Linked DNA regions of Arabidopsis thaliana. The protein of the gene in region 2 interacts with the protein of the main gene of each other region in a pairwise test. Each region holds a gene or a part of one and is shown on either strand. Other genes may lie near its edges.

Evidence for each region. Proteins that work in one complex are often made in the same cells at the same time.
Region 1: the proteins of AT1G54540 (region 2) and CRK31 interact in a protein complementation assay, tested with the Arabidopsis thaliana proteins (one large-scale study listed by BioGRID).

What each region holds. Positions count from the first base shown.
Region 1 is NC_003075.7:6,964,500-6,971,835, reverse strand, and holds CRK31 (cysteine-rich RLK (RECEPTOR-like protein kinase) 31), read right to left. Parts: upstream 4,128-7,336; 5' UTR 4,123-4,127; coding exon 3,165-4,122; intron 3,072-3,164; coding exon 2,950-3,071; intron 2,866-2,949; coding exon 2,655-2,865; intron 2,583-2,654; coding exon 2,345-2,582; intron 2,251-2,344; coding exon 2,097-2,250; intron 2,008-2,096; coding exon 1,675-2,007; 3' UTR 1,367-1,674; downstream 1-1,366. Other genes in the region: CRK32 (cysteine-rich RLK (RECEPTOR-like protein kinase) 32), read right to left, coding at 1-428; CRK30 (cysteine-rich RLK (RECEPTOR-like protein kinase) 30), read right to left, coding at 4,743-5,147, 5,222-5,375, 5,472-5,709, 5,779-5,998, 6,095-6,216, 6,320-6,454, 6,540-7,336.
Region 2 is NC_003070.9:20,365,921-20,371,680, forward strand, and holds AT1G54540 (Late embryogenesis abundant (LEA) hydroxyproline-rich glycoprotein family), read right to left. Parts: upstream 2,592-5,760; 5' UTR 2,502-2,591; coding exon 1,782-2,501; 3' UTR 1,633-1,781; downstream 1-1,632. Other genes in the region: AT1G54530 (Calcium-binding EF hand family protein), read left to right, coding at 585-968; AT1G54550 (F-box and associated interaction domains-containing protein), read left to right, coding at 3,769-4,857; XIE (Myosin family protein with Dil domain-containing protein), read right to left, coding at 5,729-5,760.

The sequences.
Region 1 (7,336 bases), on a different chromosome or scaffold from region 2:
CTATTTAGATCTCCTATAACCATTGTCGGCTCTAGATCCATTTTGTTGAAAAACGAGCTGTTGGAGTAACGAACGAAACAGAGTGTTTTCTGGGATCTCCAGTCGTATGAGTCGGTCTGGTTCGGGCAGTTTTGTAATATACCCGTAGATGCGATTTGCATACAATCATCACAGACCTTTGGATCAGTCCCTGGGATACAGAGACCTAACGCATAGATTCTATCAGGGCCTTCACCGACAGAACCGTTGTAGTAGCCGTCTCGAGAACTCACGTTGGAAGCAAGGTTTGAGAGAATGAGATGACGGTTTGTGTCATAAGTACCGTTGGGTCTGAAAAACATTGAATCCACGCATTTTTGTGCAGACACGTAGCCGAAGCTAATGGCGAGGACAAAACAGAGGATTGACAAGAGATTTTGCAGACACATATCTTTTTTGGATATTTTACTTTGGTCAGGTATGTGTTACAGATTGTAAATAATGTACACATTTTATTTTACTGTAGCACTTAGGGTCGTTGATTTTGTCAAAAAGCATGGTTGGTTAGAAATTTTGTTAAGTAATTGAGGAAAGCATATTCAAGTCAGCTCGGTAATGGTTTTACTAGAACATTTTGGATGTTGATTAGTCAAAAAGTATGGGTGGTAGGAATTTTCGTTAAGTAGTTGTTGAGACAAACATAGTCAAGTCAATGCGATAAATATAAAATCTTTTTCTGTTAGTGTTGCGGACTTTTTCTGTTAAAGTATTATAATACAAACAGTACTATATAAAGGGTTTGTTACTTGCAGTACTGTTAAAACTCTGTTCTGGTGGTATACTGGAGATAGTGTGTTTAATTCCATTGACATGTACGCTAAAGATCACACCACGCGTGATATAGGAGAACTCGTTAGCTTGTGTCGATTCTTGGTCTTATTTCAAGACGTATGTTCAAATTCGTTAGCGATTATGAGTTAATACGTTTAGTGTTCAAGCAATAGCATGTTGTTGGTAATATTTATCAAGATGATATTGTAACACCTCTATTAAAGGAATATAGTGGTGTATATAGTGCTTCGGAGAGGCAATCTATGTCACCAAAGTCCACTTATCTTTTCGGTGAAACATCCTGTCACAGTTAATTAAGTGTGCTTCCGGAAGTCTTTATAGCCTCTTGAAATAGCGAAAACCAGTCTTTGAAAGAGAGGACTTGGATGAGAGACGTTACAAATATACTAGCACATGTGAAGCTGCTAGATAGAGTTTGATGAAACATAAAAACCTTAGAGATCTACAAATGTTGGTGATCAAAATCATTGGAACATCATCATAATATAAGTGTAGTTGCATGGATATTTCAGGGGAAATAATAAAATTTGTTGCCACTTTATAGAAAATCTGGGGGAGCAAAAAGCTGAATAAGCAAGCTGGTGACTATCATAGATGACTGAAGAAGTAAAAAAATGGGTTCGTAAGTGGTTGTTCTTAGAGGTTAATGTATCATATTTGAGGTTTGACAAATTCTCATCTTGCCATGGGAAAAAACAAGAAAGGAATACTCTACCTACACGGCTACACATAAGTTTGGTTTTATATGTACCCATATTACCATAAAAATTAACTGGACCTTTGAAAACTGGAGTTGCTTGTGTTACAAGTAAAATGCTACTGACTAGTGCAAAAGCAATCATCTCACCGAGGAGTGGCTCTAGTGATTGACGCACTATCTATAGAAAAAGGAACAGACATGCTGCTGGATTGCCCCTGCTCGGATCCATAGGTTAAGGGGTCTAAATTGGGTCTGTTCCTGAAGAAAAATCCAGGTGGTCGAGGCACAGGCAGAGTAATGGAGCTATTGGTAAGCATTTGAAAGATTGTAGACATCTCTGGACGATCTGCCGGAGTTTCTTGAACACATAAAATTCCGATATGGATACATCTAATGACTTCATCATTATCGTAGCTTTCCTTAATCGCAGGGTCGATGAGATCTAAGGGTGAATCATTGTTCCAAAGCCTCCAAACCTGCCAAGAAATTAAACTCATATTCAGAATCCAAATCCTTGATGGTCACAATCTAAACAAAGTAAAATTTTAAATTGTTTTCTGCTCACATGTGTCACTAAATTTCCCCCAGAATCATCCATCTGAAAGAAGCTGCTGTTCTTCTTGCCACAAACAATCTCCAAGATCAATACACCAAAGCTATATACATCAGATTTGGTAGAGAATTGGCCATGTGTCACATACTCTGGAGGCATGTAACCGCTGCAAATATACAACATAAAAAGGTTTATGTTAATCAGAAACAAACAAATAGAAAAAGGTTTATCAATTTTAAAGAGATTATCGGAGTACTAACAAGGTTCCAACAACTCTTCCTGTCTGGTCTTCAGTTTGGTCCACTCTAAAATTCCTTGCCATTCCAAAATCAGCTATTTTAGGGTTCATATCAGCATCTAAAAGTATGTTACTTGCTTTGATGTCACGGTGTATGATTGTTAGCCTTGAGTCTTGATGAAGATAGAGAAGTCCTCGCGTAACCCCTCCTATGATGTTGTACCGTCTTTTCCAATCTAGTTGACTTTTCATTTTTGGATCTAAATTACACTATAATTATAAGAAAATTTGATGAATGAACATAAATTAAACCAAGTGTTATTGTTTATTACCAAAGAGGAAATAATCAAGGCTCTTGTTGGAAACAAACTCGTAGACAAGTATCTGTTCATCTCTTTCTATGCAAAACCCAAGAAGCCTAACAAGATTCTTGTGTTGAAGTTTGGCCACAATCACAACCTCGTTCTTGAACTCTTGTGTGCCTTGTCCTGAATTACTCGATAGACGCTTTACCGCAATTTCTGTTTCATTAGGTAACATTCCCTACATATGAAAAACTTATAAGTTCTTAGTTTTCACAGCAAATCAAGCAGTCATAGATATATGTAGAGCTCAGCTCAAATATACCTTGTAAACTTCACCGAATCCGCCTTGACCTAGCTTGTTGTTCCTCGAAAAATTATCTGTTGCCACTTCAATTGTTGTAAAATCAAATTGCAGAGACTGTGGACTTGTCATATCATCATCAGCTGCAAATATATAACATATGCATGGTTACTAATATGCATTCCAATAAGTAATGTGAGAGTGATAAAAAAACAAAAACAAAAAAAGTAACTCACTATGATATTTCAGTGTTTTGTATGATTGTCTTCGCTTCCAAATAACTAATCCTAAAGCGACTAGCACCACGAAGATAACTGCGGAAACAACAATAGCCACAATAACTCCTGTAGAGATCTTTTTTCCATCTGGATCACGAGGAGGAGGAGGAGGAAGAGGAAGCGGCGTGGGGGGTTGAGATGGCGCTTCATCACCGAAGGCACCATAATATTTATAACCATCCCACCGGAAATAGCAGACCGGCTTGTTAACGACTCCACCTATGAACCCATTGCAGCAACTCTGGTAGTCATCGACACATTTTCCAAGACAGGTTTCACAGTCTTCAGAAGATATCCCCGGAATACACTGCATCAGCGCGTATATAAGATCAGGAGACAAAGGTTCCTGATTTATCCGAGGGGATATATCAGCCAGGTATCGAGTTTGACCGACTCGGGTGAACATAAAGTTCATGAACGCGTCCCATGTTCTTGTATAAGCTGTGAGGTTCCCTTGGAACCTCATAGTATTGTAAACTGCGTGAGTTGGCTCTAGAGCCATCTTGTTGAAAAACGAGTTGTTAGAGTAACGAACGAAACAGAGCGTCTTGTCGGCGTTGTCGCCTGTCCAGTAGAATGAGTCGGTCTGGTTCGGACAGGTTTGTAATAAACCTTGAGACGCGAGTTGGATACAATCGGAACACACCCTTGGATCAGACCCTGGGATACAGAGACCTAAGGCATAGATTCTTCCAGCTCCTTCACCGACCGAAACGTTGTAGAAGCGGTTGTTTTGAGAACTGACGTTGGAAGCTAACGTTGATAGAACGAGACGACGGTTAGTGTCATAGTTACCGTTAGGTCTGAAAAACACAGACTCCCCGCATTTTTGGGCAGAGACGAAGCCGAAACTAACGGTAAGGACAAAACAGAGGATTGCACAGAGAGTGTTCAAACACATTTTTTCTCTTGACATTTTACTTTGCTCAGATACTTGTTGCAGATCTTAGAACTTGAATCTTTAAAAGGAAATGTTTATTTTGGAACGTTGATTTGGTCAAAACAGCTTTCGCGTGTAGAATTTTCGTCAAGTAGTGGATACGTGCATTAATGCACAAGTCACCTAGGTCAACGTTTTGGATAATTTAATACTTTATAAACACGTTAGGTAAATATGATGAAAGTGAACGTAGACCAATTCTTGATCTGTAGCTCTTCTAGGCCCTATTTGACACCAAAACGTTCTAACTTACTCCAAAACACAATGCAACAAGCAATGACCAAACACAAGTATTTAAGTCGTCGGTTCCTATTGTTTTAAAAATCTCTTAGTCTCCATTAAGGAATGAGTACCGTTGGGTCTAAAATACTGAGTCCCTGCATCTTTGTGAAGGAAGACACAAAGCAGAAACATGTGAGGATAAAACAGTGGATAGCCTAGTTTGATTTCATTCACCGTACTATTTTGAGAACCTTGATTTGGTCAAAAAAAGATGTTATTGGGCAGGTGAGCCAAGCATTTATTCTTAACAAAAAATGAACGTGAATACATAAACCAGAATCAAAATGAGATAACTTTTAATATTCAAAAATAATTCAATCCTCAGTGTTTCTATACATTGACTTTGAAAATAGAGTTGAGGTAATACAACAGAGTGCAGAAGCAAGAGTTTTACCGAGGAGTGTAGTGATTGTTGCATTGTCGATAGAACAAGTAACAGATTCATTGTTATATTGGTCTGGCTCCAATCCACGGCGTAATGTGTCTGACTCAGGTCTGTTCCTGAAGAAAAATCCAGGTGGTTGAGGGACATTTAGAGTAATGGAGCTATTAGTGAGCATTTGGAATATTGTAGACAATGCTGGTCGATTCACAGGATTTTCTTGAACGCATAAAAGTCCGATATGGATGCATCTAGTGACTTCATCTTTCTCATAGCTTCCGCTAATCGCCGGATCTACGAGCTCTAAAGATGAATCAGTGTTCCAAAGTCTCCAAACCTGCAAACAAACTCGTATTCAGAATCGATGATCACAGTTAGAAAGTAAAAAAAGCATTTTAGATTTCAGCTCACATATGTGACCAAGTTGCAAACAGAACCATCCATCTGATAGAAGCTGCTATTCTTCCTGCCACTAACAATCTCTAGAATCAATACTCCGAAGCTATAGACATCGGATTTGGTAGAGAATTGGCCATGCGCAACATATTCTGGAGGCATGTAACCGCTGCAAATATATACATGACAATGTTTACGTTAGTCAGTAACAAAAACCGTTCATCAGAGAATTGTGCCCATTGTAAATAATAAGGAGAATACTAACAAGGTTCCAACGACTCTTCCTGTACTGTCTTCAGTTTGATGATCTCTGAAATTCCTAGCCATCCCGAAATCCGCTATTTTCGGGTTCATATCAGCATCTAAAAGAATGTTACTCGCTTTGATGTCACGGTGTATGATGGTGAGCCTAGAGTCTTGATGAAGATAGAGAAGCCCTCGTGTAATCCCTCCAATGATGTTGTACCGTCTTGTCCAGTCCAGCTGACCCTTTTTTGTTGGGTCTGCACATCCATTTGCAAATCCAAGCTTAAGATTTCAAGAATATTGGATCAAGAGGAAAATTAGACTACTAGTACTACCGAAGAGGAAATAATCGAGGCTCTTGTTGGGAACAAACTCAAAGACGAGTATCTTTTCTTCTCCTTGCAGAGCAAAACCGAGAAGCCTAACGAGATTCCGGTGCTGAAGTTTTGCTACAAGAAGCACCTCGTTCTTGAACTCCAATTCACCTTGATCTGAAGTTCTTGACAGCCTCTTGACTGCAACTTCAGTTCCATTTGATAACGTACCCTGCATATTACAACTGAATCTAACTAATCATCCCACTATCTCAATATCTTCAAACATAACACAAATACAACTTAAGAGTAGTTGGGGAGAAAATGCCTTGTAAACTTCGCCGAAACCACCTTGACCAATCTTGTTACTCGCCAAAAAGTTACTTGTTGCAGCTTCAATGTCTTTAATATCAAACTGGAGATATCCAACTGTTGTAATATCATCGGCAGCTGCACAATGAAAATGTAGGTGGTTTTATGGTCAGGTCGGTGAAATTCTTTCGTAAATTAGCAGCAAGACCAGCTGATAAGAAAGAAAACAAGAGGAACTCACTTTCTGAGGCAAAAGCTTGATATTTTTTTCTACTCCTGCAAACAGAAACCCCTAGAGCAAGCAGAGCCATGATTATGACCATTGCAACGACAATGACAATCCCAATGATAGTTCCTGTATGAATCGTTTTTTCATCTGTGCAAGACCAAATCACCTAGCTCTTCTTAGAGTTGAATACAAGAAGGGTTATTTCTATCATTTATTTAAGTAAATCACATACCTTTGTTGGTCACTGGAGGTGGGGATTGCAGCTGAGATGAGGGTGGAGGCGCTAGCGTAAGAAGATCAAAGGCGCCATTGAAAGGGTATAGATCCCACCGGAAAATGCAACTAGGCCGATACACATAGCCGCCTTGCTTCCCATGACAACAACCAACATAGTCATCAACACTTTGTTTTAAACAAGTGTTACAGTTGGAAGGAGAGACGTCTGGCGTGCATTGCATCAAAGCGTAGACCATTTGAGAATTTGTCAAGTTTGTTTCATCAGCTGCATAGAATCTACTGTTATCAAATGATAAATATTTTATTGATGCTGATGAAGCTTTAGTCACCATATGAGCTATCAATCGCTCCCATAATCTATCAAAATCTGTTAAGTTTGTGCTGAGATTTCCAACGTTATAACCAATAGAAACTGATTCCAAATCCAATGGTCTAGAAGACGGCTGGTTATAGTAACGTGCCATACATACAGTTTTCCCTCCACCTGACCAGTGAATTGCTGCTGTCTGGTTGGGACATGTCTGTATTAACTGTCTTGTGACGTCCATGATACAATCCCTACAAAGCTTTTGTTTAGCACCTGGGATGCACATCCCCATTGCGTAGAGTTGGTCAGGATCTGTTCCAATCGAAGCGTTGTAGAAGCCATCTTGAGCTGTGACTTCAGATGGAAGAGATGAGAGAATGATTCGGCGGTTCTTGTCAAATGTACCACCTGGTGTAAAAGTTCCAAACTTCTCCGAGCATAACTGTGCAGAGACAACAATAATTAAGCTCACAGGGACAAGCCAG
Region 2 (5,760 bases):
CAGTTTCTTACTCTGTAAAGTGTAAAACACACCATAACTTTGTTTTTATACCACAAACCTCTATGACCGGTTACCTAAACCGGAAATGAAGGCAATTAAGAATCAAATTTGATACCATTAATGATGCATTTAGTATTTGTGAAATCAAAAACTTTTGTCTAACTTAAAAACTTTGTAATATCATCAATATTTCGTAAGGAAATAAAAATTCATTGTTATACTCAACATGTAAAATCATTTTAACTAACTACACAAAATCTTCTAAAAAAAAATAGGTGTATATGCAAACTAAAACTGTAAATGTGAAGACATTTACATAGTTATCAGAAAATTAACATTAAAATCATATAATTTTCAAGCTTAAAAATAAAATCAACAAGAAAAAACAAAAAACAAAACCAAAAAAAAAAAACTCATAATTTTAAAAGGTAGCTTATATTCTCTGTGGCAAAACATGCACGCAACATATTACTACGTTATCGAATCTTGTAGCATCATTTAACCAAACATCAAAGAAAAACAAAAAAATTCAAAGAGACTTTTTCCAAATTCAGATCTCAAAACACGAATTCGAGAATTCTACGATGATCGAAACAGTAATCACAAGCAAAACTCTAATCGGATTCCTTTCCGATACAAAATCATTCGAATCCATAACCAACGACTATTTCCAGATTCTAGATCTAGACAAAAACGGAATGTTGTCTCCATCGGAGCTTCGTCAAGGTCTCAACAATGTGGTAGCTGTGGAATCTGAGGTCGCTCCTGGAGACGAGACCGATAACGTGTACAATGCGATTTTCGAGAGATTCGGTGAAGATTTGGTTCCAAAAAATTTTAGGGATTTGATTGCAGAGATTTTGACGGCGATGGCGAGAGGTATCGGAAACTCGCCGGTGATTATGGTTGTGCATAATGATGGATTGATTATGAAAGCTGTTCTTCATGAATCTAAACAAGGCAAGTGATGAGATTTTTTAAAGCATTTAGAGCTTTTTATTTTTCTTTTGGGAAAATTTGATTTATAATTTGGTTATGTTTGAATTTTATATACATGAATTAATGTTGTTAATTGATAATGATTACATTGTAATTTCTTCGATTTTTACTTCTTTTTTTACTTGGGATGAATTAAACTCGAGATCGTTTGAATTTTCTCGAAATTTTATATTTCAATTCTATTGTAATTTTCGAAAGTTTTACCATTGAAAAAATAGTATAGATGTGATTCACACTACCAAACCATTCATGCTGAAGTTGATTCCATGCTATGGGCAATAGAATTTATAATCTCGATAGGTGTTACGAGTTGCTCTTTTGCTTTCGACCGTGAAGATCTTATCTCTATTGAAAAACTTTCAGTGTAGCCAACATTTGTAGTTGAGATGACGACATTTGGTTCCCTTGTATGTTTTTTTCCCTCTTCTAGTATTAATTTTCTTTCTCGTCGTTTTAATGTGCGGATCGATTGCCTTGGAAAAAGACATGAGATCGCAATAGGTTTTTTTCCCATGTAAGCACGTCGGTTCCTGAATGACTCTCTCTCTCTCTAGAAGAGAGTCTCGTTCCGACTACTTCATAGAAATTATGTTAAGCGGAAAAGAACCATTCATTTGCAATATTTTGAAATTTCAAAAATCTCTCGTAATTTAAAAAATAAAAATCAATCTTTTATTGAGAATAAAACCATTAATCCAAAATATGAATCAAATGCATAAGAAAATGATGAATTGAGTAATTAACACCAATAAAAAGTAAAAGCGCCTAGATCTAAGAACATCTCAGAGTTTGGCCTTAAAACTGCAATCACTAGCTTTGATGTTGATATTATTGTTCGTTGATAAACTATCAACAACAAGCTTACAACTCCCCAATATCCGAATCTTCTTCATCTTCAGATTTCCGAGTTTGATGGCGACAGGTGCATTCACTTTAAGATCTAACGGTACACGTCCTGTTTGTTGTTGCTGCTGCAATGCCGCCAAGACAGTGTTCCCATATTGCGCTCTTCCCGTTAGAGCCACATTTAGTTTAGTTACATTGCGATGTCCTTGATAAAACCTCGGTATAGGGCCTTCACATAGCTTTGTCTTGTCGTACCACACACCGATATGACCTCCTTTCTCGTAATAAATCCCAATCTTTTCGTTGGGATTACGAGCTGTGATCTCGACTTTAAACTCCGCGGAAAGAGAGAGGTCTAGATTGATTCCAAGGTTGGTAACTCGTAAACTGTTGACTTCGTAACTCGGGAGTTTAGGGTGGAAAACAAAGTATACAACCGCAACCGCAATTGCTAACGCGATCAATGCAATGACTAGAAGGCTTAACACCCAACAAAAGATTTTGCAGCACATATTTCGATTCTTACTAGGAATAACAGGAGGCGGAATCGGCCGTTGAACCGGAAGCAAGACTGTCTTTCCGGGAGCTGGTGTTGTTGTCTTCGTCTTGTTGGCTTCCATTTGAAGAACCGGGTGAATTTTTTGTTGATCTCCCATGGATCTACAACTTTGTATTTAGTAATACTAATGCACCAACATGTATTATATGTACTTTATTTTATATCAAAGTTTTGTCTTGTGAAGTTGTTTCCATGCATGACTTTTACCAACATCTTACCTTCCTCACCTATAACGTTGAATTAATCAGAATATATTAGAAAGACTAGAGGTTGTTCAACAGTTACAGTAATCTTTTTGTATTTAATTCGATAATAAAACAAAAACAATAAATCATTCGGTATATTGGTTTAGTTAGGATGACGACTTTGGCAACATTCCAATGTTTTCAACACATATCTTCTTTTTGTTCATCTCTATGTTCAGCAACAACCCGTATAATCAAATTCTTGAGGAAGAATTTGAAAACTACAATTTTTATGATACATTTCATAACTATCACTAATTTTTTTTTTCAAAAACACCACAAAAGGATTTATAATTTCTTTAAATACATTTTATAGAAAATATTTATAAAGTTATATAAGGTTTTATAAATTGATTCTTGAATGATTTTTTTGTAAGCAATCTCAAAAGAAGAAAGATTCAAACTTATTAAGATAGAAACTAAGAACTTAGATAGATTATTAAAACTTTATGATGCAAGGGTACTGATAGAGAAAATATTACTTCGTTGTCACCAAGAACACTATGATTCGAAATTGATACTCTTATTAAGATGAAGGAAGAGAGTTGTTTTGAGAGGACAACTCTCAAACAAAGTTACCTTCCATGGATGTTCTAACCATAAATTTATATGCTTTTGCTAGCTAAAACTCTAGTTCCATGGGCTAATAGACTTCTCAAAACACTCTATCTTAGGATTCTTTTGCATCCTTTTAAAAAAAAAGTCTTTAGTAGTTTATTTTGAGAAATGGAATCGTAAAAGTGATAGATGTCAAAGTTTCCCAATTAATATATAGTCATCACTCATCTACTCTGGAAATTTATGTTAGTCACATATCATCTGATCTATAAAGAGATTACTAAATATGTGGTGGTGCACTCTACGAACTAAATCAAGAGCTTCGTAGTTTTTAAGTAAAACTGAAAATCAGTTGCTAAACGATTTCGTAATTTTACCATATGATATAGTTAAGGATTCGATGGTTTATTTTTTTCCAAATAATAGGCCCATTTAAAAAATCTGTGCCAAAGCAAAACTTTATTACAAGCCCAACCAAAACACATATACAAACATATTAGGGTACCGAATAGGTCAATGAGACATTAAACTTGTGGAGAAAGCTGAAAACTTGGAGGAAGAATGGCGACAGTAACCGATCTACCGGATGATTTGGTAAGAGAAATATTTTCTAGGGTTCCATTGACATCTCTAAGAGCAGTGAGATCTACTTGTAAAAAGTGGAACGCTATATCGAAATATGACATCTTAGGTAAAAAAGCAGCAGCAAAGAATCAGTTCTTGGAGTTCATGGTTACAGATTCTAGGGTTTGTTCTTTGAGATTAGATCTTCAAGGAATCCGTAGCGAAGAAGATTTGATTGATCTATCTATAAAGCAAATAAGTATACCTAATAAAGTTGATCAAGTCGAGATATCTCAAGTCTATCACTGTGATGGCTTATTGTTATGCATCGCCAAAGACAACTCGAGTGTTATGGTATGGAATCCGTATTTAGGGCAGACGAAATTGATTCAACCAAGAAAAAAACTCCACAGATATGACAAGTTTGCTCTTGGATACGACAACAACCGTAACCACAAAATTTTGAGGTTTCTTTATGAGGGGAGTCCAAGAAACGTCATTATTGATGTTTACGATTTTAGCTCTGATTCATGGAGGGTTCTTGATATTGATATAGATTGGCATGAACTGTTTAGTCACAATAGCGTGTCTTTGAAGGGAAATACTTACTTTTTTGGTCGAAAGGGACCACGTTTGCCTATGCTGTTTAAACCTCCATCTCGTCGTTTTGAATATTTGACTCTATCTTGTGTTAGAAATGAGAAACTCGCTGTGTTATACAGCCACCTCAACAGATTTGGCACAATAGAGATTTGTATTTCGACTAAGATTGATCCCAGTGCAGTATCATGGACCACTTTTTTGAGAATTGATATGACACTAATCAATGGTTTACCGGATAACTTTTTTGTTCACTCTTATGCTACGAGCTTTTTCTTCGATGAGGAGAAGAAGGTCGCTGTGCTTTTCGGTACAAACAGATATAGAGGACGTGAGACCTGTCAGTACTACCAGAGAGCTTGCATCGTTGGAGATAGTGGATACTTCAAAGCTGTCAACATCGAACTAGTTTTCAATTCACAGCTGCAATCTTGCCAACTTGTGAGCTCTTCTTATGTTCCAAGTTTAGTGCAACTGCAAGATTAGTCCGTTTTCTTTAAACATTTTATTTGTTTTTTGCGTTGAACAAGACTGCTTTTAGGTTGAAGAAATAGTTGATAGAAGTTTCATTTTCTATGAAGGCTGATTTTTTTGTTTCTTGCTTTGAACAAGACTGCTTTTAGTTCTAAAGATCACCAGAGAACAGTTTATCTAGGGTTTTCAGGAATTAATCTATAGAGAGTAACAAAGTTTTTATAACAAATGCATGCATGAGGGATCAGCTACATAAATTGCAAGACTTGAATTATAATTAATATGAAGGAGAGTGACTACTATTTATAAATCCGAGACGATAGTTTTCAGTTAGCATTGGTCAATTTTAAAGTTCTTGCAAAGTTCGGGCTTACTGAATGGTCTTAGACATTATATCCAATTCAATGACAGCTCCATTGGAAAACAATTTGATTCCATTTCAAACTTGTTTATGAATGCTTATGAAAGTCAAAGGAGGTAATTAGACAAGTTTGAAACTAAAACAAAAAAAAAAACTTATCCAGATATGCTTGTTCGATAAATCCAGATCTTTTGTATGTATACTGTTTTGGAACTTATTTTAGTCGTGGAAAATTTAGTTTACTATTTTTAACAGCTTTCTTTATACAGACTTATGTTGAAATGTTTTGCAGCACATTTGCTTTGCAGTTCATACATGATCCGAAAAATATGTTGCAAACAAAACAAAAAAAAGTGGCACGGTATAATTTCTGATAAGACCAGGTTAGATCTGCTTCAAAAAGATTGTATTCTTAGTATATAATGAAAAGTTGAACTTATTGTCACCTCTATTCAAAAGATCGAGTAGGATTATCACAACTACACAGTGGTGGTGTAAACTTATTGAACCAATTTATCTTTATTAGTCAGAACATGGCAATAGAAAGCTAAAAC